Linked DNA regions of Lonchura striata. The protein of the gene in region 1 purifies or fractionates together with the protein of each later gene. This does not show direct contact. Links are inferred from orthologs where the notes say so. Each region holds a gene or a part of one and is shown in the gene's direction. Other genes may lie near its edges. The genes, in order: IKBKB, FKBP5, CREBBP and BTRC.

Region 1 (7,710 bases):
CAGTACAGTTTTTATATATTTTCAAGCTATTTTCAGCTCTTAGGAAACTTTTTGCATTGTATGGCACGCCTTTTTAAAAATGGTACAAGTGATTTTCAATTAATTGACTTTCAGCATTCAATTTCAACTTCAATTCAATCTGAACTAAATCAGTAGCATTCCCAAAGTCAAAGTGAATGATCTGAACTGCCATCCAGTTGCTTGGTTTCTGCCATAACCCTGCGTAGTATCCTTACTCCGTGCAGCTGTGGTTCCATATTACATCTATGCAGGCTTGTGTTCTGAATCCCACAGTAGCAATGTTTTAACTTGCTAATTGTTGGTATCACAGGTGATCTTTGTTGTTATCTGTGGAAAAGGCTTGAAGTTCTTACAACTGCAAGAAACAGAATTCTGGTAGCTAAGGCGTTTGTTTTCAAGAAAAGCTTTGTTCAGTGAAACTACTTAGATCACAGCTGAGCTGCCTTGTTAGAATTCCTGCCTGGGAAGCACAGTAAAGAACTGTTGAGACCTTATTTCTGAGGTACCTGCTAAGATGCCCCAAAACAAGACAACATAAGGGGTATTTTTGTTTGTTTTGGGTTTTTTTTTTTGTCTGGGAGGACAGCTGGCCTAACTGATATCTTGGAAGAAGTCCTACGTACCTGAAACCAGCAGGTAGTTTAAACTTAAAAATGTCTTTTTAATACTTTCTTTGCCTGGAAGACTGACATGAGGAGTCTCTATTTAAAAAAGCACCTGCATGGCTTAATCAAGTTCAACTCATATATTCATCTGTACAAGTAGGTTCTAGCCATACACAGCAAGTGTTTATACTGCAAAATGCTGTAGATAGTCTCTCTAAAGTGGTTTTACATTAGATGTCACATCCTGTCTTCCACTGATTTCTGTTGCCCCTGTTCAGGCTATCTTAGCTTATAGCGCTGCAGCATTTCCCCCACCTCTTCCTGTCCATCCACTGATAGCTGCTGTCCCACTATGCATGGAAAACTGGTAACAGATGTTGCCATACATTTATTTTCAGTTTTGGGAAAGGTACAACTTAGGCCAGTCAACTGGAATGAAAAGCCGTCAAATTGAAATAATTTGACTGTTTGAAAAGTATGCTTACAAGGCTCCAAGCAGAAACCGGCAAGCAGTGTGCATCTGGTAGGCCTCTCAAAAATACTAGACCAATAAGTCAAAGACCTAGATGTGATGTTCTGACATTTTGATTCTACACTTTCAAATACATTAGGATAGAACACTATATTATACCTTAAATTTGTCTCTTTTTGCTGAAGCATCGTCAACAGGAACACTTAAAATCCCACATATTAACCTATTATTACTAACAGCCTAAGCAGTAATAATGTAAGCATTATCTTACCTATGTGGAATAAGACCTAAAAAAGAGCTGTCACTTATCAAATGTGAACAAAAAGGCATGTCAGCCCTTTCCCTGGAAAGCTTCAGCTTTCTTGAAACAACTGAAAGTTAGCATCTTTACCTACGCTATGAATTATTTCAAAAGCAGGAAGGCAATAGTTCAGTTAGTTAACTATCATGGTACTTCATTTATTAAATTGGGATTTATTAAATAATAATATTTAATAGTATTTAATGACAATGCCATTGATGTTGAAAACAGGAAATGCCCTTTTTGAAACAGGTGCAGAGTAGTGCCTACCTTTTTGCTTTTTCTCTTCTGTAGTCTTGATGATTTTCTTTCCAGACCAGTCTGGGTTTGTGTTTCCTGTGTCTCTGCTCTGATCTCTCTGTCCTACTTGTAGCACCACTTGAGGGGGTGGAGCGTGCTGATGGAGCTGGGCCATGGGGCGTGCTGTCCGCATCCCACCCCTTCCCGAGCATCTAGGGGATGGTCCAAGCAGGCGGCTGGCATCCGGATTGTTGGGGAGGGAGCCCTGTGCAGGACGGGAGGAAAGCTACTTGCTGGAATGCTGCTGGATTTTACAGCCAGTTTGTTTTGTTCTTTCTCTTTTCCAGTCAGAGAGCAGATTTAGTTCTCAAAACAATCTCTTCCCCATTGAATACCTTATTGTTCAATGACAAAATAGTATGTATCCCTTACAACGAACTGTCCTGTCCCATTATACTTCTAGGAGTATGAATGAATGCACAGCTGTATTATTTATAATATAATCAGAAGTCTGCTGTATGTAGACTTAGTCCTAATAACAAGAAACTCCTGTTTCACACACAAGTGTAGTGTGCTGTGTTCCTAATGAAAATGTTTGGCAGATGTGAGAACCACAGCCTTGCTCTGGGGTCTCATATGGTGGTGAAATTCCTCCTCCAACCCGTGCTTCCAAAGAAAAACTCCACAGGCTTTAGCTGTTCAGTCTCAAGGCAGTTTATTGCTAGTTATCTAACAGATTATGTTCTTGGACTGCGGCTATTTGATCAGCGGCCTGGGTAGAGGCACACACACACCCTGACATCCTCTCTATCTGCTGTCTTCTTCGTCTCTCTCCCCGCCCAGGGCTGCTGCTATCTTTTATATGATATATTACGTATTACATGTTTATAGTTTTCCCCCAATACCTACTACCTATATTACAAAGTGCTTTTCTACTGTAAACCAATCTGTGACTGCCAACATGACCAAGAACATGGAGGCAAGGAAAAAGAAGGAGGAAGAACAGGATCAGCCCACTTTCCTCCATCTTAGAACTTCTGACCCCCATGTACAAAGTGAAAACCCCCCTGTATATGTGCTAAAACCCCCCTTTACAATACTAAAAAAAAATTCCCCTCTACTTTGTAATTACTTTTACTATACTATCTAACCTTTTGTGACTGCTTGTTCCACCTCCAAAGCTGGCAACTCACCCCATGGCCCCAACTCAAAGTTACAGCTGTTTTTCAGCTGTCTGCCAGGGTCTAGAATGCCTCTGACTAAGGCTTGGAACCTCTAAAAATGTTTGAGAGACATTTTGAGTTCCCACAGGCAGAGAGGCCTTGACCCAATTGTGGAGCAAAGCATGCCCTGAACAGAGCCACAGGAGAAGAAACAGGGGAGTTTTCAAGTTAAATGAGCAAAACTTCTTAGAACTTTAGATACAAATAAGGAACAGCATGTTGAGGGCCAGAGTTAAATGTTCACTGATATTACTCACCCTAGAAAATGAAGATCTACTTACCAGAATGTGGTCATGAGTATTCAGTTATCAAAGCGTGGCAGACAAATGTGATTAACTTAGGGCACTGTTATGAAAACAGTCATTGCTGCAATTGTTACAGTGATGAATGTGTCGTACCTGCTTGGAACTGATACACTAGCAATCAAGCTCCTGACAGAATCTAGTATAAGATGTAAGAACCAGTATGTGGAGTGAGTGACTTCTATTTTAAGAAGCAGGTGCATAGAGACCTCGTTTGGAAAACACAGCACTGGTTATTTTGCATAATGGTAAAGATGAAACACCCGTACTCTATCTGTGTGGAGATCTATGTCAAGATTATAAAATTTATTTCTCCAAGAGTCACAGTGCTAGTGATAACATTACTGCCATAAATCTGATGTGTAGCTGCATTTGACTGTTTCTGGAAGGGACTTCCAGTTGTTGAGATTGAACACTGCTGAGAGAGCAGGGGCTAATTTATTTTATTTTTTAAGATACTAGCCATTTGATTTCTAGATTAAGGATGCTAACAAACTGATGGCCATGGGGGAAGATTTCAGAAATTACTTCCTGGCTTTTCAGAGCTTAAGGACAACTATAATTGTCTACAGACTGTGGTGCCATTGTAGGGCTTAACATATTTTAGGAAAGCCAGCAATAAAGTGTCTGCTCTCTCAAGCACCACCTACTGGATTTTCTCTACGTTGATCCTTGGGATAATTTCAGCAGGACTATTTAATGGCAGTGACGAAGTGTGACAGCATGACATCCCACAGTAGGCCCATGTCACCTCGGCGGGACCCTCTCTGGCCGGTGGCTTTGGCAGGTCCAGCGCAGGCGACTGGAGTTGTGGCAGATCTTGGAGAGCAGTTTCCACCCCCGTACTGTTGTGCATCTTTGCAGTGGTATTAAAGCAACTCACGCCAGCCAGCCCAGAAGGAAGAAATAGCCAAACCCGATGTAAAGCCAGAATAGCGCTTTGGCTCGGGCGGTGCGGTGGGAAAAGCAAATGGTGCGTTCCGGATTGGCAGATCTTGGAGATGCTGCGGGCAGAAGACGGCAACTCTTTAATTTTACTTACACAGTCCACGAGCTGTTCTCGCCTCTCATCCCGAGCCCCTGACTCCACGCGGTATCGCGGCCACGGCGATCGCGACTCCGCCGTTCCTCGCCGGGGCGGCCCCGAGCGGGCCGAGCGCCGGCCCGGCGCGGCCCCTGGAAGGGCGGGCGCTGGCGCCGGAGCCGGAAGCGCAGGTCCCGCGGAGCGGAGCCGGGCCCGCCATGAGCCGCCCGCCCGCGCTGCAGGCGCTGACCTGCGGGCCCTGGGAGATGCGGGAGCGCCTCGGCACCGGCGGTTTCGGCAACGTCATCCGCTGGCACAACAAGGTAGGCGGTAGCCGGGCCCGCGGCGCCCCGGCTCCGGACCCGGTCTCAGCCCACCCTTACTATGTCCACAGGAAACCGGCGAGCAGGTGGCCATCAAGCAGTGCCGGCAGGAGCTGAGCCCGCGCAACCGCGACCGCTGGGCGCTGGAAATACAGATCATGAAGAGGTGAGGCGGGGCGGCGGTGTTCTCGGGCCGAGGCCGGTGCCCGCGTGGGCCGGGCCGGGCGGAGGGGTCGCTGCGCGGTGTCGCGTCGGTGCCCCGGGACGCGTGGCGGAGGCGGCCCTGGAGCGCGGATCTGACGGGTGCGCTGAGGGAAATGGTGGGAGAGGCTTTCGGCCGCTGGCCGCCAAGGGATCCCCTTCCGGGAGGTGCCCGGTCCGCTCGGCGGCAGGTGGGTGGAAGTTCACGCGTAAGAAAACTTCATACGGTGCTGCGTGAGACTCTTGGGTTTCACACTGCCGTCTTCGGCTCGTCTGCTGTGCCCTCAGCGCTACAACAACGCTGCTACCTAGCCGCTGCTTTGCTTGCCTTAACGTCTGTCCCTTGGGGTGTTGGATTAGCATTTTCGGGTGTAGTGGTCTGATTGCAGTTTGGGTCTTTTCTGGACGGTGGCAACAGACTGCCTTGCACTCCTTGCAAGAGTTGTTGCTGTACCTTCTAGACAGATCTGTAATGCATGTGTGTTGAAGAAACACACTGTCTTGCACGTGAAATGCTAGGAGTTTGAATGAGGCTAGATCCGTGAAATATGCAAACCTTCAGAATTCACTCATTTAATTTCTAAAAGGATTTGTGATCACTTTAGGTGATGACCAGGAGCATGTGAAATTGTATAGCAGTTGCAGAACATCATGCCTACTTGCCTAATTTTTGTTCCGCAGACTGAACCATCCCAATGTGGTGGCTGCCCGCGATGTCCCTGAAGGGATGCAGAAGCTCGCACCAAATGACTTGCCACTGTTGGCCATGGAGTACTGCCAAGGGGGAGACCTCCGCAAGGTGAGGTCCCTGGGGTGGTAACCAAGGAATGGGTCAGCTTCTAATCTTATCCTGGGTTTTCTGTTCTCTTAGAACCTTTGCTTTCACATCCTGAGGCTTCCTAATTCTATCATGGCATCACCAGTTGTTGGTGGATTGGTCCTTGATACTATGTTCAGCTTTTGAAGACTTAAGTGCTTTGTGAAACTCTTTTGGTTTTTTGGATGCAAGTGACACTGTGAGGAGTTTGCACATAAATAATGAGGGCAAGTGTAAGGGATGTGCAACAGAATATGAGTATGGCCAAGACCATTGTAGGGTAGGTGCATCTGTAGGCTGTACCCTTCCTTAAAGTGATTAACTCTTGTCTGTTGTAGGAAGAAATAACACATGATAGTTCTAATCCTAAGGCTTTTCTGACCTTTGCTGTAATCTGCCCATAGCTAAAACACAGACTTTAGGCCTCATATTGGAGTTGATATTGGCAGGCACAGGGGAAATGGCAAAGAGGGATGGAACAAACAGAAGGATTAGAATGGGATGACAGTGACTTTTCACCTACTCCTTTATTCTCCCATGCAATTAAGCTAAGGCTGATTTAATTATGAAGCTGTAATTGCTGCTGTCACAGGTCACACCCCATAGAATTTTGTGCTTCTGGAGAATTTAATTGCTGTTGCTGAAATTTCTTGTATCCCTGAGAATTTGCGGGACTGTGGGCTTCACTCAGGATAGAGGAAGGAAAGACTGCATTTTGTGTTGCTTACTTGCAGTACCTGAACCAGCTGGAGAATTGCTGTGGCTTGCGGGAAGAAGCTATTCTTATCTTGTTATCTGACATTGGTAAGTGGTAGCCTTCAGTTGTCTGAGCTATAGAAACCTTTTTAGTCCTGAATCAACTCTCCAAATATACAGCAGTGACCTTAGTGACTCAGTTTTAGACTGACCTTTTATGATCTTGATCATCTACCAAAAGTGTTGGGAGTCTGGGGAGGTCCTTGCCTACTGGAAGCTAGCCAGTGTTACTACAGTTTAAAGGAAGAATGTGGGGGAACATTCAGAGAGAGAACTCAGTTTGTGTCCAGAGTTCTATGATGCTAACTTTACACCTTACACTTAGTGTTTCATGGTATGTTTCATTGTACAAGGTTTGATGTGAAAGCCATAAATAGAACCGAGTCCTTACTGATCTTGTCTAGGTACTGTTACTTATGCTCTTAAAATTTCCTTTATGTGTGTCTCAGCTTCTGCTCTCAGATACCTTCATGAGAACAGGATCATCCACAGAGACTTGAAACCAGAGAACATTGTGCTGCAGCAAGGAGAACAAAGGGTAAGCAGGAAGCAGTTGTCTCTGCCTGCACAGACAAGTAAGCTTATAAGGAGCATGCATGTGCTTCATGCAGTTACATGGTCCCTCTGCAAGAGCACTCAGCCCAGGATAACACCTGTCTCAGGCCACTATGTCAGATGAATAGTATTCTGTGTGCAGCTAAGACATTGTATTAGACATCTGTTAACACCTGACATTTCGACTTTCAGCTATTAAGGAGAGAGCCACACTGTACTGATTGACCTAAGATTGGAAGGAACTAGACACATAACTGCTAAGTGTGCTATGACACCTTCAAATTCATTGTGGCTTAAGGAATCTACAGTAGCCTCCCATTTCTACTTCTGCCTCTTCACTAGCACCTTTCCTGTATAGCTTTGAAGAGCTGAACATTTTCTTTCTGCTGTATGATGTGCTTTTAACAGGATTTCGGTCTAGCACTCTTATTCTCTGTTGTGTGTTTCAGTTAATACACAAAATCATTGACCTTGGTTATGCTAAGGAGTTGGATCAGGGTAGCCTATGCACATCCTTTGTTGGGACTCTGCAGTACTTGGTAAGAAAGGAATTCAGGTATAAGAGCAGCTACTGCTTTCTAGTGGGGTAGAATTAATTGTTATCAAGTTTTGGGCTGGGATTAAGTACTTGCATGGTATGGGGTGTGTTTGTGGTGCTGAAGCAAGTGAAGGTGACTGTTTTTTGCTGACACTGGGTTTTCTGCTAGTTGCTTCTATTATGAATAAGCAGAAGTGCCAGTAACCAGGAATACTGCTCACTCCTAGAGGGAATTAAAGCATGTGAGAGGCAGCATTCAGTAATGTCTTTAATAATTTGTACAAATGTTAATGAGATGTTAAGGGATAGAGAAAGCTTAGAGCTGGGTGGCT
Region 2 (7,368 bases), on another chromosome or scaffold:
CCGAAACCCCGGCGGGGCTTCGTGGGGCTCAGCCGCAGCGCTGACCCCCGAGCCACGCTCTGTGCCCAGCCCGGCTGTGCCCCCGACCCGCCGCTCTCCGGGCGGCGCCGCAAGCATTGGGGCACCTGAGGGCGATCTGCAGGAGTTCTTGGGTCTCGGATCCGTCCGGCAGGAACATCTGCATGGAAGGACCCAGCCTCCTCACAGCGGAGCGTCCTCGGGGGATTGATGCCCCCGTCACCCCTGTGCCCACCCCCGGTGCTGCCAGCTCGCACCCCCACGCTGGAGATGGAGCCCCAGGCACCCCCAGGCACCCCCAGGCACCCGCCCTCTCCGCCGGAGGCTGGTACAGTTCGTTACGTCCAGACCGGAATGTACTTTGTGTTAGAAGTGGCCACAAGCCAGGACGGCAGAGCCGGACTTTATTTATCCTCCCTGCTCCGGCCCCGCTGCTGCATCCTGCCCTTGCTGCTGTGGGGCTGCATCTCCGGCAGGGCTGGGGGAGCTCTGGGCTCTGTCCACCTCTCTGCTGCTCACTGCCAGCCGGGGAAAGCAGCGATTCTCCTCATTTCCTCAGAAGGGAAATAATTTGGGGAAATATTTGCGTCCTTTCCTCTAGTAAAAGCTGTCCCCGGTGCCTGGAAGGAAGCGCCGTGAGGAAAATGGGAGCTCAGGGATGGAGCTAGGATCAGCGAAGCCTCTGGAGGGAGGTGCCCCTGTCTGCTGGCTTGGGGGCTTTTTGCAACAAGGGCCAGAATTTAGGCCACAATCTGGTAATTTATGGATTAGAATGCACCTGGAAAGATCCGGCTCTGGCCACACCGCAGGGTAGGGCAGGGTCAGGCCTGTGACGGAGCAGGGACTTCCCTGGGGGTCCCCACGTGTGAGGGGGATGTGTCGGCCCCTCGGCTGTTAAAAAGTCGTATGGGGAGCCGTGAGTCCGGGCAGAGAGGGGGAGGCTGCCGCAGCCTCGGGAGGGACCCCAGGGACTGCCCCAGGCTGGGTCACTCCACACCCAGCATCCCTCCCAGCGGCCTTCCCGCAGGGAGATTTGGGGGCGAGTTTCAGCCAGAAAGCGGCTTCCAGCTGCTCTGCATCGCCGGGGTCGGCACTCCTCATGCCAAGCAGGAGGTTTTGCCCTCCTGCCCCATCCCCCGCGTCCCCATGTCCCCATGTCCCCATGTCCCCACGTCCGTCCGTTCCTGCCGGGAGCTGCGCTGCACCCACAGCAAGGACACGGTGTTCTCCTGTTCTCCGGCGCCTGTTGTGCAAGCCCCGGCTGCACCTCCCGTAAACACGCGGCTTCCCACGGGCACGGCACCGCGCTGCGCCCCCGGTGCCAGCGGCGAACGGGGCCCCCCGAGGGGCGCGCACACCGCGGGCATCGCCGGGCCGCAAGAAACGCTGCTCGGAGCCCCAAAATGGACACTGCTGCTCCGGGTTCTGAGGGGAAGGATGGGTTTGATCCGCCGGGAAGGGGAGGATCCCTGCCCCGGGACCATGGAGCAGTGCTGCCGCACGCGAAAGGAAACCAAGAGAAAAGAGAAAAGCCACTTCCTCCGCTCTCAGGAGATTCACTGATGTGGCTCTATGTGCAGCCAAGGTGGAGGGACTCCTCTCCTCCCCACGCTCTCCAGGCAGATTAACGCTGGTTATTTTTAGCAGAAGACAAGGATGAATAAAAATATCCCCTGCTTTATTTTATTTTTTTTTTTTCTCTCTCCCTTGGAGGAAGGCTGCTCTCACCTCACACGAGGTGCTGGGGAGCCAGCAGAGAAGGTTCCTTGGCTTTGCTCCCTGCTTCCAGACTTTTCCCAAAACTCCCTGTCCTTTCAGAGCTGGGCTCAGGGCTGGGGCAGGACATGTGTGGCCAGCTGGAGGGCGAGGGGGAACAAGCAGTACCCCCGGCAGGCGTCACAAAGCCAAACAGGATTATTTATGGAACAGATTTCCTCCAGGTTGTGTTACAGGGATGGGGGCGAACGGGGCAGACCCCAGCCCTGGGAGAGGGGAGACTTTAGGACATCTCCCCACCCAAGAAACAGAGTGAGCTGGGGGGTCTGGCACTGGCATAGCAGTGATTTGGAAGGTGTCTTTTATTTTCTAAAAAAGCAACTCTGATTCTTTATTCCCATGTATTTTTTTGGGGGAGGGGGGTTCTATGCAAACAAAAAAAAAATTACCATTTTTATAGTACAAGGACAAACTAGGCTGAACTTCCTCATTGCTGCCATTGGTCCCATGGGGTTTTTCAGGGTTTTGGTGTTATCTCAGGGGCCTGATGGAATTGTGCTGTGGATTTTCCTGGTATTGCAAACCCACAATATTTTAATTTTGTTTTGTAAATGAATATTTAAAGCTCTTGGAAATTTAAAGCCGGGAGGGAAATGTTTGAAACCACATGCAAGATTCACCAGGGTTATTTTAGCGGGGGGAAAATTAAATGCCATGAAAACAATTTTTCCCCCCCTTTTCTAAAGTAGGCTTTAATTTTCACTCTGTATTTCTGTTGAGTGACACCGGTGTATAAATTACAGCTGGGGAAATCAAACTCAGCATATAGAGCAGACCTGTGAGAAAACACCCACCAGGGCAGTGCTGCCTTCAGCCTGGCCCCGAAGATTTTATTGGGAATGAGGATGCGGATTGGGAGCTGCAGGCACTCATTACAGCACAAACTTGGTAAAAAGTGACCACTTCATAAAAACACTCAGAGATGTCCCAATTTAAATCTGCCCCCAACATTTTTTTTTGCTCAGGCACTGCAGCGATGAGGTGTATGATCACAAAAGCGCTGATTTCTAACCCGGGGCGCTATTCTTGGGGCAGCTCTTGACAAAAACCTTATTTCCTTCTTCCCGAACTGGAACATTTCTGCGTGTTCCAGCAGCCGCTTGTCCGCCAAACCCACATCTCTGTCCCCAGCTCTGAGGCAATTTTTCACTCTTCTGCGCGGTGTTTCCTGCGACTCCCGGAGGAGCTGGGAGGGATCGGGCCACCCCGGGGAGCTGGGGGGCAACGAGGGCACCTGCGGCTCTGGGGTGTCCTTGCGGGGTCGCATGAAGCCGCGGGGTGGGGACAGCCCCACGGGGGGCTGAGGAGCCCTGCGGGTGGCGGAGCTGCACGGAGCTGCTCTCCAGCGCTGCACGGAGCTCCGGGGTCAAACACCGCGGGCACTTCCCGGGGCCGGGCTGTCCCCTGTCCCCTGTCCCCTGTCCCCTGTCCCCTGTCCCCTGTCCCCTGTCCCCGCTCCTGCCGGAGCCGGGCTGTCCCTTGTCCCCTGTCCCCTGTCCCCTGTCCCCTGTCCCCTGTCCCCTGTCCCCGCTCCTGCCGGAGCCGGGCTGTCCCTTGTCCCCTGTCCCCTGTCCCCTGTCCCCTGTCCCCTGTCCCCGCTCCCTGCCGGGACAGGGGGGCCAGGCTATCCCCTGTCCCTTGTCCCCTGTCCCCGCTCTCGCCGGGGCCGGACTGTCCCCTATCCCTGTCCCCTGTCCCACCCGGGCCTGGCTGTCCCCTGTCTCTGTCCCTGTCCCCTGTCCCTGTCCCCTGTCCCTGTCCCTGTCCCCTATCCCTGTCCCCTGTCCCACCCGGGCCTGGCTGTCCCTGTCCCTGTCCCCTGTCCCCTATCCCTTCCCCTGTCCCACCCTGGCCGGGCTGTCCCCTGTCCCTGTCCCTGTCCCTGTTCCCTGTCCCTGTCCCTGTCCCTGTCCCTGTCCCTGTCCCCATCCCTGTCCCTGTCCCTGTCCCTGTCCCTGTCCCCTGTCCCTATCCCTGTCCCTATCCCTGTCCCTGTCCCCTGTCCCTGTCCCTGTCCCTGTCCCTGTCCCCTGTCCCACCCTGGCCGGGCTGTCCCCTGTCCCTGTCCCTGTCCCTGTCCCTGTCCCTGTCCCTGTCCCTGTCCCTGTCCCCGCTCCCGCCCGGCCCCGCCGGTGCCACCCGGGCGAGCGCGCGGGCACAGCGCTCTGATTTGCATATCGCCTCCGCCGCCGCCAATGGCAAGGTGGGAATTGGGGACGGACAGGCGGCTCAGCCAATAAGACGCGAGCAGGGCGGGCTCAGGGGCGCGGGGCGGGGCGGCCCGGCCGGGCGGGCTCGGGGGCCGCTCGGAGCCGGGCGGCGACAGCGACAGCGACAGCGACAGCGGGGACAGCGGGGACAGCGGGGACAGCCACGGGGACAGCGGGGACAGCCACGGCCACAGCGGGGACAGCGGGGACAGCCACTGCCACAGGTGGGACCCGCGGGCCGGGCAGCGCCGTGCCCGCTCTGCCGCACCCTGCGCTGCTCGGGTGAGCGGCTGAGTGAGCGTGGGGCACCGCGGGCTTGGGGACAGCGGGGACAGGACAGCGGGGACAGGACAGCGGGGACAGCGGGGACAGCGGGGACAGGACAGCGGGGACAGCGCTGTCCCGAGCGGGCCGGGGGCGCTGGGGAAGGGGATGGTGGCGGTGAGGGTAGGAGCGGGGTCCGTGCCCCACGGAGCTCCCCGGGATGCCGGGAGGAGCTCCCGCAGCGGTGCCCGGGGATGCTCCGGCACATCCCGGGCTGCTGCCGCCGCTACCGGAGGGAATTTCTGCTTTCCCCGCTCCCCATCCCCGTCCGAGGCTCCCGGGAGCAGCCGGAGCGTTTCTTTTAAGCAGAGAGACCCCGCAGGGTGTGTGCATCGCTACGCACAGCCTTTGGCAGCAGGTAGAAGTGGTTGCACAGGGTAAATGTGATTTTTAAAAAAGTTTCTGCGTTTTCTCCTCCTCTCCTCACATCAAAACTCTTCCAGAGCTTCTGTTTTCACGTTCGAGTGAGCTTGCTCTTCCCAGGAAACTGTATTTTACACAATGGGCTGTAGGAACTCGTAGGAGATTTGTCTGTCATCGGTGTGTCCCCAGGCTGCGGCTTCCAGCTGAGGCTCCAAAGCTGAACCGAATTTCTGTCCCCAACGGTGCAAACAATAAAAGTATGCTTAAAAATAAAACATAATGGGGAAAAAGAAAAAAAAAAAAAGCCAGGAGCTGATACTTTATGGCTTTAGAGTTTAAATAGTGTCTCATCCTAACGAGCTATTAAACTTGAGGTGGATTTGAGGACATCACTGGGATATCAAAGCCAACCTGGGAACTGGAATTAAAAGTTAAAAAAAAAAAAGAGTTGAAAGCACAAATTGCCGCTTCCTTTAAAACATGAGCAAGCTGCCTCCCTCCTCCCCTGTCCTGCTGAAGGGCTGAGGAGAAGAAAATCATTAAAAAGGTCTGGCAGAGCCTGTATCTATCTGGCTTTTCTGCTCTGTCTTCCCAAAGGTGCTGTGGCTTTGATTTGGGTGCCAGTGCTGCAACTCCGAGATACTTGGGCTGCGTTTCCAGCCTGGTACTCTGAAAATGGGACAAAATTGCTGGGGAGGGGACAGAAAATCCCTGCCAGAGAGGGAGCAGCGTCCACAACCTGGAGCTGTGCAGCACAGCGAGGGGGTGGAGGGGTCCTGGGTGGGTTTAGGTCCTTGAAAAAATCCCCAGCAGATTTCTGGGGAGTCGTGGAGAAGTTTTCTCCTCTGCTGAAGTGCACAGGGAGAGGTGATAGCACGTGGCTGGTGGCTCTGGGGGATGGAGAGGTCCGGTGGTACAGGCTGCTCGTGGTGCCCATCCAGCTCAGAACAGAGATGTCTGCCAGGATAATTGCTCATGCAATTATCTTTCCTTGTTTGTTCGGGATTTTTGGGCTTTATTTTTAATTTTTTTTTTATTTTTAATAAATGCAAATAATCTCATCTTCCCAAGGCTGTGTTTGCCCAGCACACATTTCAGTCATGTCGAGGTCCTTTCCCAGCACTGTTAGAGCACCTTCCTGCTGGGACGAGCCAAAAATAAGGACAACTGAATAAAAAGCAGACTGCATCCCTCAGGAACACCACTGCTGTGTAGTTACGTGTGTTTTAATTAATTACCTGCTTGCAGAAGGAGAAAGTTTGCTGGAAGGTTTGAGATGGTCAGCACCAAAATTTCCTTGGGCTGGCTGCAGACTGGCTCAGGGGAAAAATATTTTGTAAGTGGTTTGAAAAATAGTTTGTCCTCAGTTATTTCTCATTCTATGCTATTTTATATCAATTTTATTTTATACTCACTCTTGGTTACATGTATTTCTATAAAGTTGCTGCAGCCCCTTGAGGGAGCTGTGAAGCTCCTACTGATCTTGTGCACGTAAAAGGGAAATAGATATTACTTAGCAAGGGTTTTATTTTAATGCTCTGTGCCTGTGGGTGTAAAGAAGTGGCCACGAGTGCTCTAACGTACAAGTTGTTCATGTAACTTGTTTGTCATGGAGCTGACAGGCTTTTTCCATAACCAGTAATTGTGATTAGTAAGGATTTCTGATTTTGCAAGCGAGTGCGTTGGAAAATTAGGAAAATAATGGTAAAGTAACTGTCAGAAGTGAAGAGTCAGGACTGTGAGGGACTGCAGCTAAATCATCTTCTACCTGCAGTGTCCCATCTTTGTAAATAGCAGTATTGTCCTTAGATGGAAAAATATTCTCATTGCAAGAACTTTTTGATTTAGATGAAATTTAACCACTGAATAAAACGAGCCCTGGGAGGCACTGCCTGACCAAGAGCATCATTCCTGGGATGTGACACCACCCCAAAAAGGAGCCCAGGTGGGATGCAGCCTCCTCCCCACCCCAGGTGGTGCACACCAGTGTGTCAGAGCCTGTCCTCACCCCTGTGCTGGCATTGTCCCCAAGGCTGTGGTGGCATCTGCCCCTGCTGCTCCTCGCAGCGTCCCCAGCGATGCCACTGCCACCCCCCTCCCCACCTGCAGTTTGTCCCCTCGTGATGTTTCTCCAAGAAATCCTCACTTGGCACCCGAGCAGGCTGGCGTTTCCCTGGGAATTGCCGTTTGCCCAGAATCATTTGGCATTTACAGCGCCCTGGTGCAGATGGTGCTGGGTGCTGAGTTATTTCTGGGTGCCAGAGCTGCTGCTGGCGGTGCTGGGTGCTGAGCTGGGGATTCCCCTCATGGCATTCAGCTCAGGGATGCTCCAGGTGCTGCTGAGCCCTGGTGTGTGGGGATAAATCATCCAGCACAGCATTCCCACTGCCAGGGGTCACCTGGCTGCAAGCTGCTCGGAAAACAAAGAAACAAACACATTTTAATAGATCCAAGTTTAATTGCCACATTTAGTCCGGAGAAAAGGCTAAATTAAAACAGAATTGGCAAACAAGGAGTTCCTTGTTTATTCCCATTTTGTATTTATTTTAGTCCCCCCCCAAGCTGTCACTTGAAATTCAATTTTCTCAGCACTGTGTAGCTGCTGCCAGGAGGCTGCTCTGAGTCGCCTGTGGAGGGCTTGGACTTCACTTGGTGTGCTGCACGGGGAGGGAAAATT
Region 3 (7,495 bases), on another chromosome or scaffold:
CAGGAAGTCTGGCGATGGGCTGCAGCAGTGCAGATTTTATTATGCAATTTCTCTTGGAACTAGTCCCCGAATAAAGGAGTTATCCATTAAGCACCTGCTTCACCCTCCCTCCTGAGCATCACAAATGAAGGCCTCAGGAATCCTTTCAAGGGCTTACCCATCAGTGGGGGAGCAGGGAGCCATGCACTGGAGTCCAGACTGAGAATATTGGTGTATTTGACATATAGTGTCTTTCAAAGAGTTTCTCTTCATTATTAAATCCTCCTGCTCTCTTTGAGTTTGTTGCATGTTTGGCATTACTAGTGAGTGAGGCCATCCAAGTCTTGCAGTACTGACACCAAAGGGCTGTGATACCCAGGGTACTCTTAGGCCTTCAGGGTATTTAATCATAGCCCTCTTTCCAAGGGGCAGCTGGTAACAGCCGAGGTCTTCCTCTCCCTCCTGCCATTAACCCAGCGCTGTTCTGATCCCATGGCAGGGGATCTGATCCCCTTAGGGGCCATCCTAAGGGGACATTTCACCACAGAGAAGCTGCAGGACACAGCAGCAGTAGGATCCTCCTCCTCTGCCCCTGCTGCCTGGGGTGAAGGATTCCCTCCCTCCAAAGCACCTCCTTTCCCTCCCACTCTGCTCCTGGGACTTGCAGCCCCGCTTTGACTTCACTGGTGTGGCAAGCCTGGCACTTGCTGTAAAGACAGAGGAGCTCTCCCAGCTCATCATGGCCTCCATACATCCTCTGCTTTTCTCCCAACAGCGGGTACACAGCATTTCCCTCAGAGGCACCGACACAGCAGCTCCTGTCACAGCACTGGGGCTGTCAGCGCCTCAGCAGCTGTGTGCTCAGGGCTGCAGTACTGCTGTAACATGGGTGTGCTGCCCAGCACCAGGCAGCATGAACATCCTCTGGAGAGTGGCAGTAGCCATGGGACCACTCAGGATCTGTCCCCAGTGGTAAATCTCCATCCTGACTTTATCCCAGAGCTGCAGAGTTAGTGCAGCAGCAGGGAAGGGGGTGATGAGGAAGTGCTATGGAGGGCTCCTGGTGTCAGCCACTCCAGCATATCCTTAAATGATGTAATTGAAAAACCACAGCTTCCTTTGGGTTTGAGGGGCTTTAAACACCAGCTCGTTCCACCTTCCTGCCATGGGCAGGGACACCTTCCACTAGCTCAGGTTGCCCAGGCTGTAATGACCAAGGCAAGCACAAAGAGTGATCCAAGACACAGTTCAAAATACACCAACTAAACTTGTTAAAAAGTTCAAGCAGGAGCCAGAAAAAGACCCTGTTGTCCTCGGCTGTGACTTAGAATCTGATGTGACTCCCACCCCTCACCTCCAACAGCAAAACATTTTCCTTTAACCTAAACTGGAATAAATGCTTTATACCACAGTAAAATGCTGCTGGACAGGAGCTGCTGCTTTTACATCTAGAGGCACTGTGAGACACCAAACCCTGTCCCACACTGAAACATCCTGAAACAGATGGGAACTCATTGCTTTTGAAGGAAATTAAAGCAGGCACAACCAGAGAGCACTTACTTGTGTAGCTAATGAGTAGTGCAGTGATAGAAACAGAGGCCTGACAGACCTCCACGTGATTACAGCCAGACCTCAGCAAGGACAGGCACCATGTAAATAAATACAGAATTTGCAAGTAAATGTAATGAAATTCATGTAAATGTAGAAGTAAATGTAATGAATTCGAGTTTTGCAGTAAACAAAACGCAGACTTACTCTTTGCAAAGTAATCTGTCATTATAGATCTCCTTCAAACCAATAAATTATTGCTGTTGAATCCATCTCAGCTTATGGAGCTTGTCAACAAATCCTCAGAATTGTGTCCAGATCTTCTCCAGCCTCTCCTCCCATTGTGGCTACCTTTGGAGGACATTCCAACATGAAGATGATGAAAACAGCCCCAAGCAACCAGTTTGGGTACAAGGAGCTCTGCTGCCACACACGTCACCGGGGCTTATATGACCTGATTCTCAGGTTGGGAACCAGTATGGAAATCTATGGAAGTATATGAGCTCCAGTCTTCTAAACCTGTTTTGGGCTGGGGAAGTCTGTCTAGACAGAGCAGAAAGTGTTTGTAAAGTGAGGCTGGGGTTTGATGCTGGTGCCTGAGAGTGGGTCAGCTCCGATGGGACACTTGCCCTTGTGTGTGGCTGCTCTGAGGGCATGGGGAAAAATGGGGGCACGGGGAAAAATGGGGGCACGGGGAAAAATGGGGGCACGGGGGAAAATGGGGGCACTGAGGGGGAGCTTGGGAGGGGATGTTGTGATGGGCGCATTGAGAGGGAATGTCCACAGTAGAATTGAGAGGGGGAACTGCAGGGGGTAACTGAGAGGGGACATGCTGAGGGGGACATTGAGAGAGATCCTGTCTGTGGACTGAGAAGGGAAGTTGAGAGGTGACTGAGGGGAAACTGAGAAGGGAGACTGTGAGGGGGATGGCTGTGAAGGGGGCATTGAGAGGGGACATCTTTGGTGAGACTGAGAAGGCAAACTGGAAATACAACTGTGAGGGACTGATAGGTGTCTGAGAGGGAAAATTGAGGACGATTCAGGGAGAGATGAGAGGGGACATCCATGGTGGGATTGAGAGGAGAGACAGGGGTGAGGGCTCTTAGGAGTATGTGGGGAGGAAAGACTATGAGGAGGCATTGAGCCATCCGTGGTGGTAGTGAAAGGGGAGATTGTGTGGGTGACTCTGAAAGGACTGAGAGGGGAAGGGGGGATCATGGGCAGACATGGAGGGGACACTGTGCGGGGGCACTGCGACATCCGAGGGGAGTCAGAGAGGGGATGTGGGGGGAGACTGGCAAACGACTGAAGTGAGGGATCTGAGGGACTGAAGGGAGACTCTGAAGGGCCAATGAGCCATCCATGGTGGGACTGCGAGGGGAGATTGTGGGGGTCCCTACGAGGGGACTGAGGAGAAACGGGGACTGTGGGGAGGCATGGAGGGGTCGCCGTGAGGGGAGCACTGAGACATCTCTGGTGGGACTGAGGGGAGACTGCGGGGGACGCTGTGAGGGTGGAACAGACATCTGAGGGGAGTCGGAACACTGTGAGGGGACAGCTCTGGGTCCTGAGGGGGAGCAAACAGGAAAGACCAGGCGAGGACTTTGTGGGTGGGAGGGAGAGAAATGCACTCTGAGGGGACTGAAGGGAGATTATGAGGGGGCACCGGGAGCAGGCACCTGAGACATCTGAGGGCAAACGGAGAGGGGACGCTGCGAGGGGGTGCTGCGGGGGGAAGCCCCGACTGAAGCAAACAGGGCAGACCGAGGCGGTAGCGGGGCGCACCGAGGCGGGGCAGGGCGGCGGAGAGCGAGCGCACAGCACCGCCGGCACGGCGTGCGGGGCGGGGTCGCCGCCCGACCCTCCCGCCGCTCCCGAGCCCCTCAGCGGAGCAACTGAGGACGGCGCCGGCCGCTTCCGGCGCCGCGCGCGCCTTTCCGGCAGGGCGGGGCCGCGCCGCGAGCGCGCTGACGCAGCGCGCAGGCCCCGCCCCCGCCCCGCCCCCGAGGGCTCTGGAAAAGAGAAGAGAAAAAAAAACTTTTTTTTTTAATTGAGGAATCAACAGCCGCCATCTTGTCGCGGAGCCGGAGCGCGGCGCGGGCGGAGCGGGCCGGGCCGGGCCGGGCCGGGGCAGCGGGGCCGCCCCGCCGCCGCACGGGGCAGCCGCGCCGAGCGCCGCCGACGCGCACAGGGGGCTCGAGCCAGCGGGGCGCAGCCGCCCGGAGCCAACCGACCGCCGCCGCCGCCACCGGGAGCCGCCGCCGCCGCCGCGCCGCGCTCATTGTTTTGGGGCGTTTTTGGGGGGTCGGCGCGGTTTTCCGCTTTTTGGTGATTTTTTTTCCTTTTTTTTAATTTTTGCCCCCCCCCCCCCCCCCCCCCCGCTCCCTTCTCTTCTCCTCCCCCCCCCCTCCTCCCTCCCCTACCTCAGCCGCGGGCGGGCGGCGGGCGGGGGCCGGGGCGAAGCCGCCGCCGCGGAGGGGAGGGGACGGGGCGAGGCGAGGGGAGCGTGTGGGGGGGCGGAATGCGCCCCGAGTGACGGCCTGAGCCGCCATCCGGGCACCGCGGCGGGGGGAGCGCCCGGGAGGAGCGCGGCCGGCAGGGAGGGGGCGCTGGGCCCTTCGCTCCCCGCCCCGAGCCCTCCTCCCTGCGGCCTGCGGCGGCCCGGCATGGGGGAGCGGGGGCGGCCGGCCGGGCACTGAGCGGCGCTGTTGGGTTCCCGTGCGGCGGAGGAGCGGGGACAGCGAGCTCGGCCCCCCCCGGGCACCCCCCGACAACGATCGCCGGCTCCGCCGCTCCGGCCACCATGGCGGAGAACTTACTCGACGGGCCGCCCAACCCCAAGCGAGCCAAGCTCAACTCGCCGGGCTTCTCCGCCAGCGATAGCACAGGTAAGGCCGCGGGGGTGGCTCGGGTGGGGCTCTACGCCGGTTCTCCCCCACACACCCCCCCGCCCCCGCCGCCCCGCCGGAGGGGGGGCCTGCGGGACCGCCCGCCCTGCCGCGGTTCCTGGCGGGGGTGGGTTGGGCCTCCTGCAGTCGAAGTTACCGGGCGGGACCCGTACGCCAAGTACCGTCCCGGCTATAAATAGCGGTTGGAAAGAGACGTTTTTCGAGTTAGGTTTCCCATCTTTTCCTCCATCATCTTCGTTTTTAGTGCCTCGGTTTGGGTGATGGGGGTGGACAGGTGAGCGGAGTGCGGGTAGGGAAGCGACCGTCCTGCTTGTTGTACGATCGTGGAATGGTTCGGGTAGGAGGGGACCTTAAAGCCCGTCTTGTTCTATCTTCTGCCATGGGCAGGGACACCTTCCACTATCCCAGGTTGCTCCTAGCTCCGTCCAGCCTGGCCTTGGACACTTCTAGGGTTGGGGCAGATGCAGTTTCTCTTAGCAGCCTGTGCGGAGGGCCTCACTGTCGTCAAAGGAAGGAATTTCTTCCCGATACGGAATCTAAATCTACCCTTCTTCAACTTGGAAGGGTAGTTAAGTTTCTGTCTACTCCTTAAACCCCACAGATTACCCACAGCTAATAGCCCTATACAGGCTTTTTCACTGTGCCCCTGTGTGTGACACACTACGGAATAAAAACTCCTTAATAGCTTCTTAGTCATAGAATGATATGGGTTGGAAAGAACCTTGAAGAACATCTAATTCTATCCTCCAGTTAATACTTTGTGCTTTTTTTTACCTCCCAGCCTGTGACCGAGGTTTTCGGGCATTTGGCTTAAACTGTTTCAAGCATTTTTCCTTTAAACCCCAAACGATTTGCCGATAATAATTGAAGTTGTGGGGTTGCTCGTATGCCGAAATGCCCAGCAGCGTGGCAGTCATTGCGACTTGCCTGCGTCGTGTGTAGTGTCTCTGGCGTGCCTTTTTCTTCAAATGTGATGGATTTGTAGATAATAAAACAGATAAAAATGTCTTGTTTCCAGCCAGTGTGTGCCCGTTGTAAATACACACGTGTGCATAAGAGCATGTGTGCCTGGACCGACCGGCCTCTACCGGTGTTCCGACTGTTTCAATCCCTGAAAGAGTGGTTTCAGAAGAACTTGAAGTCTGTTGCACTTTAATTTCTGCTTTCAGAGATTAATGAATCTTGTGGAAGGGATAGTGATAAGTTAATCATGCTGTGCCTGCTGTGTTTTCATAGACTGAAAAAAAATACTACTATAATTGAGCTGATAAATTCTGTGGGTTTTTTCGTCTTGCTCCATCTATATTTGGCAACACTTTACAGATGCTTTGGTCCTTTAGGGTTTTTTTATGGAAACCTTTTTTCTCAGCCTGCAAATAAATTAAACAAGCGAGAAAGAAACAGTATCGAATTAGAATTGTCAGGGAATATCTAGGTGAGGTCTTGTGATCTTACCCCCTTGTGTGGAAGCACTGGAATATATGGAAGGCTGATACACAAGTTGCTGCGAAATGCTCTTTGTAACTCAGGACAAATACAGTTTATAGTTCTTTAATACTTCAGTGAGAAATTTTAGACTCTCCTGGTAGCCAGTGTCTTGGCTTGTTTTTTTTTTTCTTCCTTCGTTCTTTTTTGAAGTTCACTTGGGCTGTTCTGGAATGCTTCAGTCTTAATTACGTCCTGTTCAGCAAGTTCTCGTGTGTCTCGGGGAGCTCTGTGTGGCGCTGGATGTGTGAACTCCAGCATCTGCAGAAAGTTCTGCAGGGCTCAGGGGGCCTGGGGGCACCGGGATGGCAAACCCCAAGTTGTATTCTGGACAAGTGTGTCCAAGGAGTTCTGTCATCATCCTGGTGTTCCATAGGCAAAAGTACCTCTCTGCCAAGGGTGTGGGTGATGTTTGTGCACTTAAAGAGAGGCTTGTTTTTAGGAAAAGCACTTCTAGGTTTGTTGCCAGCAGTTAATGCTGCTTGTTGAAGGATTGCTGAAGGTTTCCGTGCATTGTGGCAGGCGATACAAATAGTTTGAGTAGTGATTGCTGTCAAATGCCTGCTCCTGGAACTAAACCAGGCTGCTCCCTGCTGCTGGGGCTTAAATAGAAAAGTTCTGTTGCAACCTGGAAAGTGGCCTTTGTGATCGAGGGAGCCTGGGGAGATGGGTCTGAGGCTTTTGCCCTGGCTGAGCAGTGAGTTGAACAGAATTATTGTAATTGCAGCGGTAGCCCCACACTGGTGGGTGCTGTGGCTGCCGTGAGGGGGATGAGGGGGACGTGCTTTCACAGCCTCTGCATTGGGCCCAGCTGAACAGTTCTGCTCAAGCCTGCGAATGCTCACACCCGAGGCTCTGATGGCAGACCTGAACGTTGGGCAGAAAGCAACTGCTCTCCTCCTTGTTTATATTTTCTTGATGCTTTGATGCGGTGATGTTAAGCAACTCCTTTTGTCAGGGTAAGTTTTAGCTGCCTTTAATCTTTCTGATAAAAATAGCTCCTCAGCTTACCGGGGCAAAGTTTGTGCCATTGAAATTGGTCTGCTTACCTTGTGAAAATACAGCCTTTTCTGTTAAACCTCAGTGGTTAAATTCAGTGTCTGGTCTTGCAGAAGGGTGCAGAGATGAAAGGATAACAGAAATGGGTGCTGTGACCATCGTTAAGTTTCATGATAGTCTCATTTCGCAGTTGCCGTGCTGCTCTTTGTATCAATAAGGAAGGTTAAGACTCCTGGCTGTTAACTTCACTTGCCATTGCTGTGCTGTATTGAATGAGAAGACTCCTGTGGTAAAATGTCCGTGGGAAAGATTTTTCCTTGTCTAGCCAGGTAGGAGTAGTGCTCTTGTCTAATTACTGCTTTATTGGATACACAGGCGTTTTCATACCTAAACATTTGTCTCTTCTGTGGCTGTTGTGAGATGTTCTCATCCAGTGCCGCAGAATAAACAAGGGACTCCTACAAAAAGTAGAATTACAGTAAGTTTGCTTATGGCAGTGTGTTATTTCAATGCTGAGCGTTGTGATTGTTTTGCACATTGCTGGCATTGGTCCTTCAGCAGAATATACAGAGACC
Region 4 (8,217 bases), on another chromosome or scaffold:
CATTTATATGTAAAGTAGCCATTAGTCATAGCTCTGTTCCCTCACACTGCCTGATGTACAATCACATTTTGCAGTGGATGAATCTTTCCACACAGCTGCTCTGCTATGAATAATCCGTTGCTGGGCCCATAAATCAGAAAAAAATCATGCACCTCCTTTGCCTGATCCTTACACAAAGTCATATATTTTACATGAGGACAAACTAAATATTCATGAGGCTTTAAAAGGCTGTTCTGACTACAAGGTACTTGTTGGGGTTGTTTTTGTTCTGTCGGGTCAGGTTTGGTGGTTTGGGTTTGTTTTTTGTCCTTGTAAGAAGAAATCTTTCTTTCCCCTTTGCCACCCTTCAGGCAGCAGCACTGAGCTCCCAGCAATGCTCCTCTGGACTCGTATTTGCTGAAGGACTGATGAATTTGTCATTGCTGCTGTGTCAAGGACAGGCTGATGGAAGGTGCTGCAAACACCAAAGGACACACCCCAGGGGAGGTAGCAAGGTCTCAGAGAGGGAAGGAGCTGTTCTAAGGGTAAAGAGGCACTTCCAGATCTGTGCTGGAGGCACCTGGCAGGCTGGGATTTGGGGTGCATGTTTCTGTATGTGCCACAGCCTGGTGCTCCTCACCGTGGCCTCTGGCAAGACCTCAGAGTCTGGGAAGGCTGCTGAACAGTTGGTACAGCACCTGTGCAAGAATGTTGTCACCCTGATTCATTTTAATCCATATTTTTAAACAAAGCACCTACAGAGTCTATGGAAAAGACTGGGACCAGGGCTTCAGCATCGTCAGCTTCCCAGTGGCCCAGTGAATCTGGTGGGGGAGCAGCACCATGCAGCCACTACGGTAGGATGGGAAGTGAACTCAGGTTTAATCTGCTCAGGATTCCTGTAAGTATTCCAAACTTTCAGGATGTGTTCTCTCCAAGACACTCTGCCTTGGCCATCCAGAGCCAGTGATGATGATATTAGTGCAGAGAGGGCTCTCAACCCTCAGGAGGGTCCAGGGATCCTGACAAGTGGGAAGACAAGAAGTTTTCCACCTTCTGTTTGCTGAATTAGCAGCTCCCAGTAACTAAGAGGGACCAATCTCATCTTTCTTTGCCCTGGTCCACTTGCCCTTACAGCAACTTTGCCATTTGTGTGGTTGTAAGAAAAAGCCAGTTTGACTTGTGAGCAAAGTGTTTAGTTAATATTTCCTGAGTATAATTTTCCTGCCAATATAGTCAACTAAACCAGCTTACTGTGCTAGCAAATAGGTTTCGGAGCCAGCAGAAGGTGAGAAGAAACATGTGGCTGTCAGACACAGGAGAGAGGATGCATCTCCCCTTTGCAGCAGCATAAGAGATATAATCAGCTCAACCCATAGACGTTAATCTATAGCCTACACTACTGTGGTTTCTCTGCAGACAAGCCTTTCTCTCTGGTCATCCCCTCCATACGTGCAGCTTTGCATGTCTACTTATACCAAGTAATGAGTACTGTCCTGCTCAGAGAACATAATTCATACTGTGTGGTCCTGGACTCCCTCCCTTCCCTCTTGCATGACTGAGTGTCCCTTTGTCCTAAAAGAGACCCTTTGTCCACAGGCTACAGGGAGGCATTCTGCCCTCAGTTTCCCTAGGCCATTGCACACCAAGTGCCTTTAGCTGAGATGCCAGAGCCCTGTGTGGGACATGACACTGTCAGGAAAAGCAAGGCTGGAGAGGCTGAGCTGACCCACTGGGATGTTTCTGGTTGCAGGGGTCCCTGTCACCTTCTCACAAGCTCTTGTGCTACCAGAGATTGCCTCTGTGTTCAGCCCTGTGAAACACAGCCCCAGTAGCAGCTGCTGCTACTGCTGCTGCCAAGTTCTTGCAGGACAAAGGGAACAACAAAAGATTCTTCCACCAGTGAACTCTCTTATTTTCACTTCCCTTCCTCTTTGCTCCAACTTGGAAAGAATGAAGCCAAGGCACTGCCAAAGTAGAGGAAAACAAGGCCAAGCCCACACAGATGGCAACTCCACAAATTTAATTTAAAATCATCCTTTATTATTCAAAATTTAAAAATTCAGGCAATAATGCCCAAAGGAATCGCACTGATTAAAGTTCCCTAATGTTTTATGGCCAAATCTTGCTGCTTCCACCATGGGTCACTGGGACAAGAAGTGAAACCCCTCTGGAGTGCAGAGAAAGGTAGGGCTATACCTGCTGTAGATCTCTTAACCACTTACTTACTGACCCAATCAGCTTCACTTGAAGCAAAGCACCAGCTGTTCCTTACCCAATTAATGACTGCCACAGCAAATTAACATGGCGTTACACCAGGCGTGGATGTGGTCCACAGAGTCTGGAATGCACAGAGCAATATGCTATTGTAAAAATAATCACAGTAATATCTTTACTGTTAGGTAGCATCCTTCATCTGGAAGGATGGTGAGGCCCCTGAGCACTATATGGGCTCGTTTCAGTGCTCTGCAGCGAGGGGGTGGAGGGCAGGGTGGGGGGGTATGATTGCTGTTTCAAGGAAAAGTAAAGGGCAGCTCTACTGTGGCAGAGACAGCACTGACTACACATGTCCAGTTCCTGCAACTCAAACAAATAATTGGTGGTAAATCTATTGAAGTGTGCCTTCTCCCTGCCTTATGAACCACACACCTCTCCAATTGGTCTCTGCCTGCTGTCTGATGTGACACCTTGATGGTGTCACAGCTTGGTGTGCTGATCATCATCTCCTCTGGCCACAGAGGACTCAGCAAGCTGGTGGGTGCAGAGCTGGCCATTCAGCTGCAGGGAGCATCCCACAGTGGGAAGGGGCGACAAGGTCAGGCCACAGACGTAGAGATCCAGGTGAGGTTCTCACAACAAGGTGTCACTCCATGCTCAGCGCTGCTGGGCCAAGTGCTGTTTCTGGGAGTCTTTCCTCAGTCACTCTGTGCTGCAGCTGAGGCTCCTGCCCTGTCCCTCTGCAGTGGTTCTGTGTTGTGGGGTTCTGATGGCAGTGTGGCAGAGTAACCAAGCCATGACCTTCTACCACCAAGTTTAAGTCCAGCACCTAAACACTCATTAGTTCTGGCTCCACAGAGTTCAGGGACATTAATCCCCTGTAAGTTACAGTCCAGACAGATCAATCAGCCTGGAGGGCTTTGGGACACTGGTGTCTAATGCTGAAGCATTACACTTTCCAATTTTCCAACAATTAGGTCGGCATCAGATATTATTGACAAATAAACCGTGCAATCAAAGCTCTGAGCCTGCCACGCTGCTACCAGGAGGATCCATTTACACCCCAAGCCAGCTGCAGGATGCCTGGAGGAAGGAGACATGGGAGAGCCCTGCCTCGAGCACCAGCAGCCCCTGCTTGCCTTCAGTGCTGTTACAGGAGCCCTCCCTTTGTAATTATAGGATTCCCTCCTTATAATTACTGTTATTTATATAATCGTGGTGAGTGTTCTCAGTGCTGTCAGCAGTCTGGAAAGTGCCCAGCCCCACTAGAGCCAAGCATTTCAGGCATTTCACTGCTAAGAGTCTGGGCTTAAAGCACGACAGCCAAGAGCATGGCTGGGTCATGAATGGCAGCCTCTTGTCCTGGTGACATGGAAGCTTTATTTGGGAGATTTCAATGCCCTGGGATTGTAGAGGGAGAACATCAGGTTATCTCTTCCTCCTTCTCTTAGACCACTGCTCTGAGAGCATGGATCATGCCAGCATCACACCCTGCAAAGGCTGACATTCCCTGTCACCTCTGCTGGGTCACTGGCTGCAGCAGACTCTCCTGGCACTGGATCACAAGGCACTACCTAGTCACATGCCCTGGGAGGAATCCAGTAATGGGCACATTCTCTGCATCCTCTGTTTTCTCTCTAATCATTCTGCCTGAAAATCTGGAGGAGATGGAGTGTTTAGAGAAAATGAGGGAAGGCACTGGGACTCAGGAGATACAGGTTTTGTACCTGCCTGAAGCTTCACTTTTGTTGCTGTGTCAAACAGGGAATGAAAACAATGGGTTTGAGCTGCACGTGGACATACAAGTGCTGATGTTTGTGGCTGGCTTCTTTGCATTTAAATAGGAAGAAATTCAGAGTATCTCACTTAAAATGCAGAGCCAAATATATAAATGCAGCAAGGAAAAGAACCAGAGTGTTTTACTAGATGACAAACTGGCTAGAAATCAGTGTTTTGTTTGCTATAGAGAAGTAAAAACTTATCAGGGTTTTATAGTTGGTATTAAAACCATAGGAAGCAATTCCTCTCTGCTGCTCCATACACGTCAGCTTAAGTTTTTGGGCACCGTGAAAAATGTAGAAAAACTGGAAAGAGATGAGACAAATTTAATAAAGAGGATTAGAAACAATGGTTGCCACGTGAGCTGATGTTGTAAGTGTGCAACAGAGAAACAGAGGAGATAAGATAAATTTTCTGTCTATATGCAGTTGCTAGTCAAGGAATGCTGATCAATTCTTTTTTTCTCTTTGCTGCTTAGTACAGCAAAGAAAACTTGGTCCAATTTTCAGGGAAAATTGATCTAAAACCATTATTAGAAGAAGGGCACCAAAGCACCACGGGAGGCTTTTTATGTACAGGATGGCTTCAAACAAACATCTCTCCAGAATGATGTCAGCCTCCTTGATCCATGCCAGTGATGCAAATTTTCCAGTTTCACATCCCCTGCGGACCTGGTAACTTTTCCCCAGACATTTCTGCACGCAGTGCAGGGGCTCAGTTTAGGTTTGCCAGCAGCAATGGGCTCGGGCAGCCAGCACGGAGCGCAGCGGGAGCAAAGCCTGGGAGCAGCCGAGCCCTCCTGCGGCGCGTTTGGGAGCGCGGGGCTGTGACTCGGGAGCCAGCCGTACCTTCCAGCCGCAGGGAAGGACTGGAGCTGGACACTGCCCACACGGCACCTGCAGGACCTCGCCTCCCTCCCTCGCCCGCCCCGAGCGGCCGCGTCTATCCTCCCCTGGCCCGCACCTCGCACCCTTAGGCCCACGTTACTACAACCCCCGTCGGCCCTTGCGCTCACACAACGCATGCGCCAGCCGGCTCCCAGCGTGCCCCCAGGCCCGGAACCTGCCGGGATTTGTAGTTTTATCCGGCAGGTCGGCCCTTTGCCAGGGACGTGACCGGGGACTCCATTTCCCGTGGGCCTGCGGAGCGGCGCATGCGCGGTGCGGCAGCGGGGCGCGGTGGGGGGGCGCGGGGCAGCGCAGGTTCCCGTCTGCGCTGGCTGCGGCCTGCACTGAGCGGGGGGGCGGCCCCGGCCCGGCCCCGCAGCGCCATGGACCCGGCCGAGGCCGTCCTGCAGGAAAAGGCGCTCAAGTTCATGGTGAGCGGCCGCGGGGGTCGGCGAAGGCGGCGGGGGAGGGTGGGCAGCTCTGCCTGTGGAGGGGCTGCGGGGGAACGGGGCGAGGTGGAGCGGGGAGCAGCGGGGAAGGGGAGCCGGGCCTCGGGGCTGGCGGGCGGGGAAGGCGGTGAGCGGGCCCGGGGAGGGGCGTCCTGCCGCGGGGAGGGCAGCGAGCAGGGTCCCCAGATCCCGGCAACGGGAGCCTCGGGAGCAGGGGGAGGCGGCTGCAGGTGCCACCTGGGAGAGGGGGAAGTTAAACCGGAGTGAGGCAGGACCTGGCAGAGGGGCCCGCAGGCACCGGCAGGCTTTGCGCATGTAACTCTTGGATTTTTTTCTTTATTTGTGCACCTTAGACTATCCTGCTGTACTGCTCACCATCTCTCTGTAATTTATTTTTCCTCCCATTCTCCTGCCAGATCTCTAAATCCTGGCAGTTAAGTGTTTCACCTGCTGCTGCAGCAGCACATCACTGATAGAACTGTGGGGAGCATATACATTGTTTAGGTTTTGAGTTGGTATGGAAAACAGTACATGCATCCAAGATGCTCTTCTAATATAGCTAATTTCCATAGATTTGAGGCATTGTGTACTTAAACGGTAGCTTCATTCTTCTTTCTTAATTTGTTGATGTTTCTGAGCATTTTGGCCAGAAATGTAAAATTTAGAAACGAAAACAAAGTGTTGCCAACTAAATTGAATGTGAATTCCAGGTGCCCTGAACTCTTCTTCCCTAAGGATATAATTCAAATGACTGGCAGCACTTGCTAAAAGTTTGTTTTGGATTAGTGCTTCTAGTGTCACAGAATTAAACTTGAGCTCATCAGGAAGAAGGAATGCTATTAAATTGTCAGAACATATGCCCAAAATGAAATTGAGGAAACACTAGCTGCAAATTTTAATTTCTAATTGAGCTTCAATACACTTGTTTGACTTTTGGCTTTTCATCTGGAAGAACTTGTTTCTCTCTTGAGACTTTTTAAGCCATTTGCTAGTAGTCTCCAAGTTTGTCAGATTTATAGAGTCTCAGCTAGGTGAAGTGGAAAAATGCTATGGACACCTAAATCAGCAAGATATCAATCAGAAGTAATGAATGGCCATCTTTGGTGTGGGGTTGGCCAAAGGAGTGTCCCAGATCCTGCTGCACTTGTGTTTGGCCAAGCTTGGTAATTACAACCTGCCTCTAGATAGTGAGTTTCACATCCCAGAAAGTTTCTGCTGAAACATTCTTGTCTGCTGCCAGACAGCATTGTGAGCATGCTATGCTGACTTCTCATACATTGCTTTTTGGCCCCCTGTGCTATGATTTTCATTCAAGGGCTTAGTCCGGGTGGTTTGAGATTGTCTGTAAGATTGGGTCTGGAGGCTGAGGGAATCCCTGTCCATCCTGCAGCTGGCAGGATGATGATGGACTCCAACAATAGCTGATATAGATGGACAACAACAGATATTGATGGACTCCAACAATAGAGCTCCCTGACACTGGGGAGAGGCATGCCTGTGAGAGGAAGCTGCTCTTCTGGGATATGCATCTGTTAAGAGCACCAGATAAAGGGAAGAATTATCAAGACCAGGCTGCACTGAGAGCTAAAAGCTAACCCACGTTCTTTCATGTTTTATTTAAGTGCCTCTTGTTTGCAAAATGCCTGTAAAACATACAGTGAAAGATATGACTTCTCTCTGTCCATTCTGAACTTTTTAGGGTTTTTTTGCTTACAGGTTGAGAATAGAGTAAGCAAAGCTTTTGTTAAGCACATCCCAGGCTTTTGCTTTAGTGTGCATCAGTCCAGAACATGGCTCTTCCTTTAATTCTGCTGATGAAGTGAAGTGTTTGTCAGACTTGGTGGGGTCTTCTGGTGTTCTGGAAGGGTGACACAGATAGATACATCAGCATACAGGAGCAATCAGTTGCAAGTATCATCCTGGCCCTTCCTGAAAATGTCTTTTCTGGTCCATGTAGCACTCAGACAGTGCTCAGGCACTGCAGTAGTGGCACTGGTACAGTTATCCACACAGAGGTAGCAGATCAGCTCATGCATCCTCTCAGCTAATGCTGAATCATTCACTGTGGATTACCCTGTCCATCAGAGTATGTGATACGCTTCATTTGCATCTTCCTTATTAGGTGGCTCACAGTTTGGCTTGTGATGGGCTTTGCTAATAATTATTGATTTTCCTGGGAGCTTCCCAAAGAGCATTGTAGGTAAAGATTCAAGTACATTTTGGAGGTATGAGGCCTATTGTCAAAGGCAGGAGAGACGGTTTTGGTTTTGATATGTGTTTGGGGTAGGTTTCATTTCATACTGAAAAGCAGCCCTCGAGGTGGTAGTTTGTTTATGCTTCTCTAGAAAATAATACTTTTTTTTCCACTTAAAAATGTGAGAACTTAATTTTTGACATTGACTTTGAGCAGCTCTTTTGAATCACAAGGTACCAGGCAAGATGGACTTAGTGATTTGATTTTCATTTTAATGTCCAAGTCTAACAGAAAAATGGGAAAGCTTCATCCAGTGCTAATATTATTAATTAAATTATTCTGCTTTAAAGCATCCATATTTGATGCTTTGAAAGACAAACAGTACTCTGTTGTTCTTCTCTATGCTCATGTCTGTGTAACTTTTTGATGGCAGTAGAAGGCAGCTGCCTTCTCAGTAGCTGGTGTTGGCTGGATTACTTGCCAATGAAGCAGTATTGCATTTAACTGATACCTGCTACATTTTCTGGTTATCTGTGCTCAGGTACAATATGTATAATCTAATACTTTAAGATTTAAGTAATTTATTTAATTTCATTTGCTTACTCAATTTACCTCTATGTCTTAATAAGACCTAATTTATTTCTGATATTAAATTGCTGTGTATGAACACTACACAATACTAAGCCACTGCTCACAAGGAAAGACTGTTTTT

The links.
Region 2: the proteins of IKBKB (region 1) and FKBP5 purify together in Homo sapiens (affinity purification with mass spectrometry; 3 studies listed by BioGRID and IntAct, with this or other methods). This does not show direct contact. The link is inferred for Lonchura striata from reciprocal best matches to the Homo sapiens genes IKBKB and FKBP5.
Region 3: the proteins of IKBKB (region 1) and CREBBP purify together in Homo sapiens (affinity purification with western blotting; 3 studies listed by BioGRID and IntAct, with this or other methods). This does not show direct contact. The link is inferred for Lonchura striata from reciprocal best matches to the Homo sapiens genes IKBKB and CREBBP.
Region 4: the proteins of IKBKB (region 1) and BTRC purify together in Homo sapiens (affinity purification with western blotting; 3 studies listed by BioGRID). This does not show direct contact. The link is inferred for Lonchura striata from reciprocal best matches to the Homo sapiens genes IKBKB and BTRC.

The regions. Positions count from the first base shown.
Region 1 is NC_134634.1:4,929,781-4,937,490, forward strand, and holds the start of IKBKB (inhibitor of nuclear factor kappa-B kinase subunit beta), read left to right. Parts: upstream 1-4,378; 5' UTR 4,379-4,406; coding exon 4,407-4,511; intron 4,512-4,582; coding exon 4,583-4,677; intron 4,678-5,393; coding exon 5,394-5,511; intron 5,512-6,263; coding exon 6,264-6,333; intron 6,334-6,734; coding exon 6,735-6,823; intron 6,824-7,289; coding exon 7,290-7,379; intron 7,380-7,710.
Region 2 is NC_134632.1:4,620,933-4,628,300, reverse strand, and holds the start of FKBP5 (peptidyl-prolyl cis-trans isomerase FKBP5), read left to right. Parts: upstream 1-4,108; 5' UTR 4,109-4,228; intron 4,229-4,267; exon of another isoform or gene 4,268-4,286; intron 4,287-7,368. UniProt on the Homo sapiens protein: Immunophilin protein with PPIase and co-chaperone activities. Component of unligated steroid receptors heterocomplexes through interaction with heat-shock protein 90 (HSP90).
Region 3 is NC_134618.1:3,873,067-3,880,561, forward strand, and holds the start of CREBBP (CREB-binding protein), read left to right. Parts: upstream 1-4,180; 5' UTR 4,181-4,330; coding exon 4,331-4,415; intron 4,416-7,495. UniProt on the Homo sapiens protein: Acetylates histones, giving a specific tag for transcriptional activation. Mediates acetylation of histone H3 at 'Lys-18' and 'Lys-27' (H3K18ac and H3K27ac, respectively).
Region 4 is NC_134609.1:19,680,804-19,689,020, reverse strand, and holds the start of BTRC (F-box/WD repeat-containing protein 1A), read left to right. Parts: upstream 1-5,153; 5' UTR 5,154-5,245; coding exon 5,246-5,293; intron 5,294-8,217. UniProt on the Homo sapiens protein: Substrate recognition component of a SCF (SKP1-CUL1-F-box protein) E3 ubiquitin-protein ligase complex which mediates the ubiquitination and subsequent proteasomal degradation of target proteins. Recognizes and binds to phosphorylated target proteins.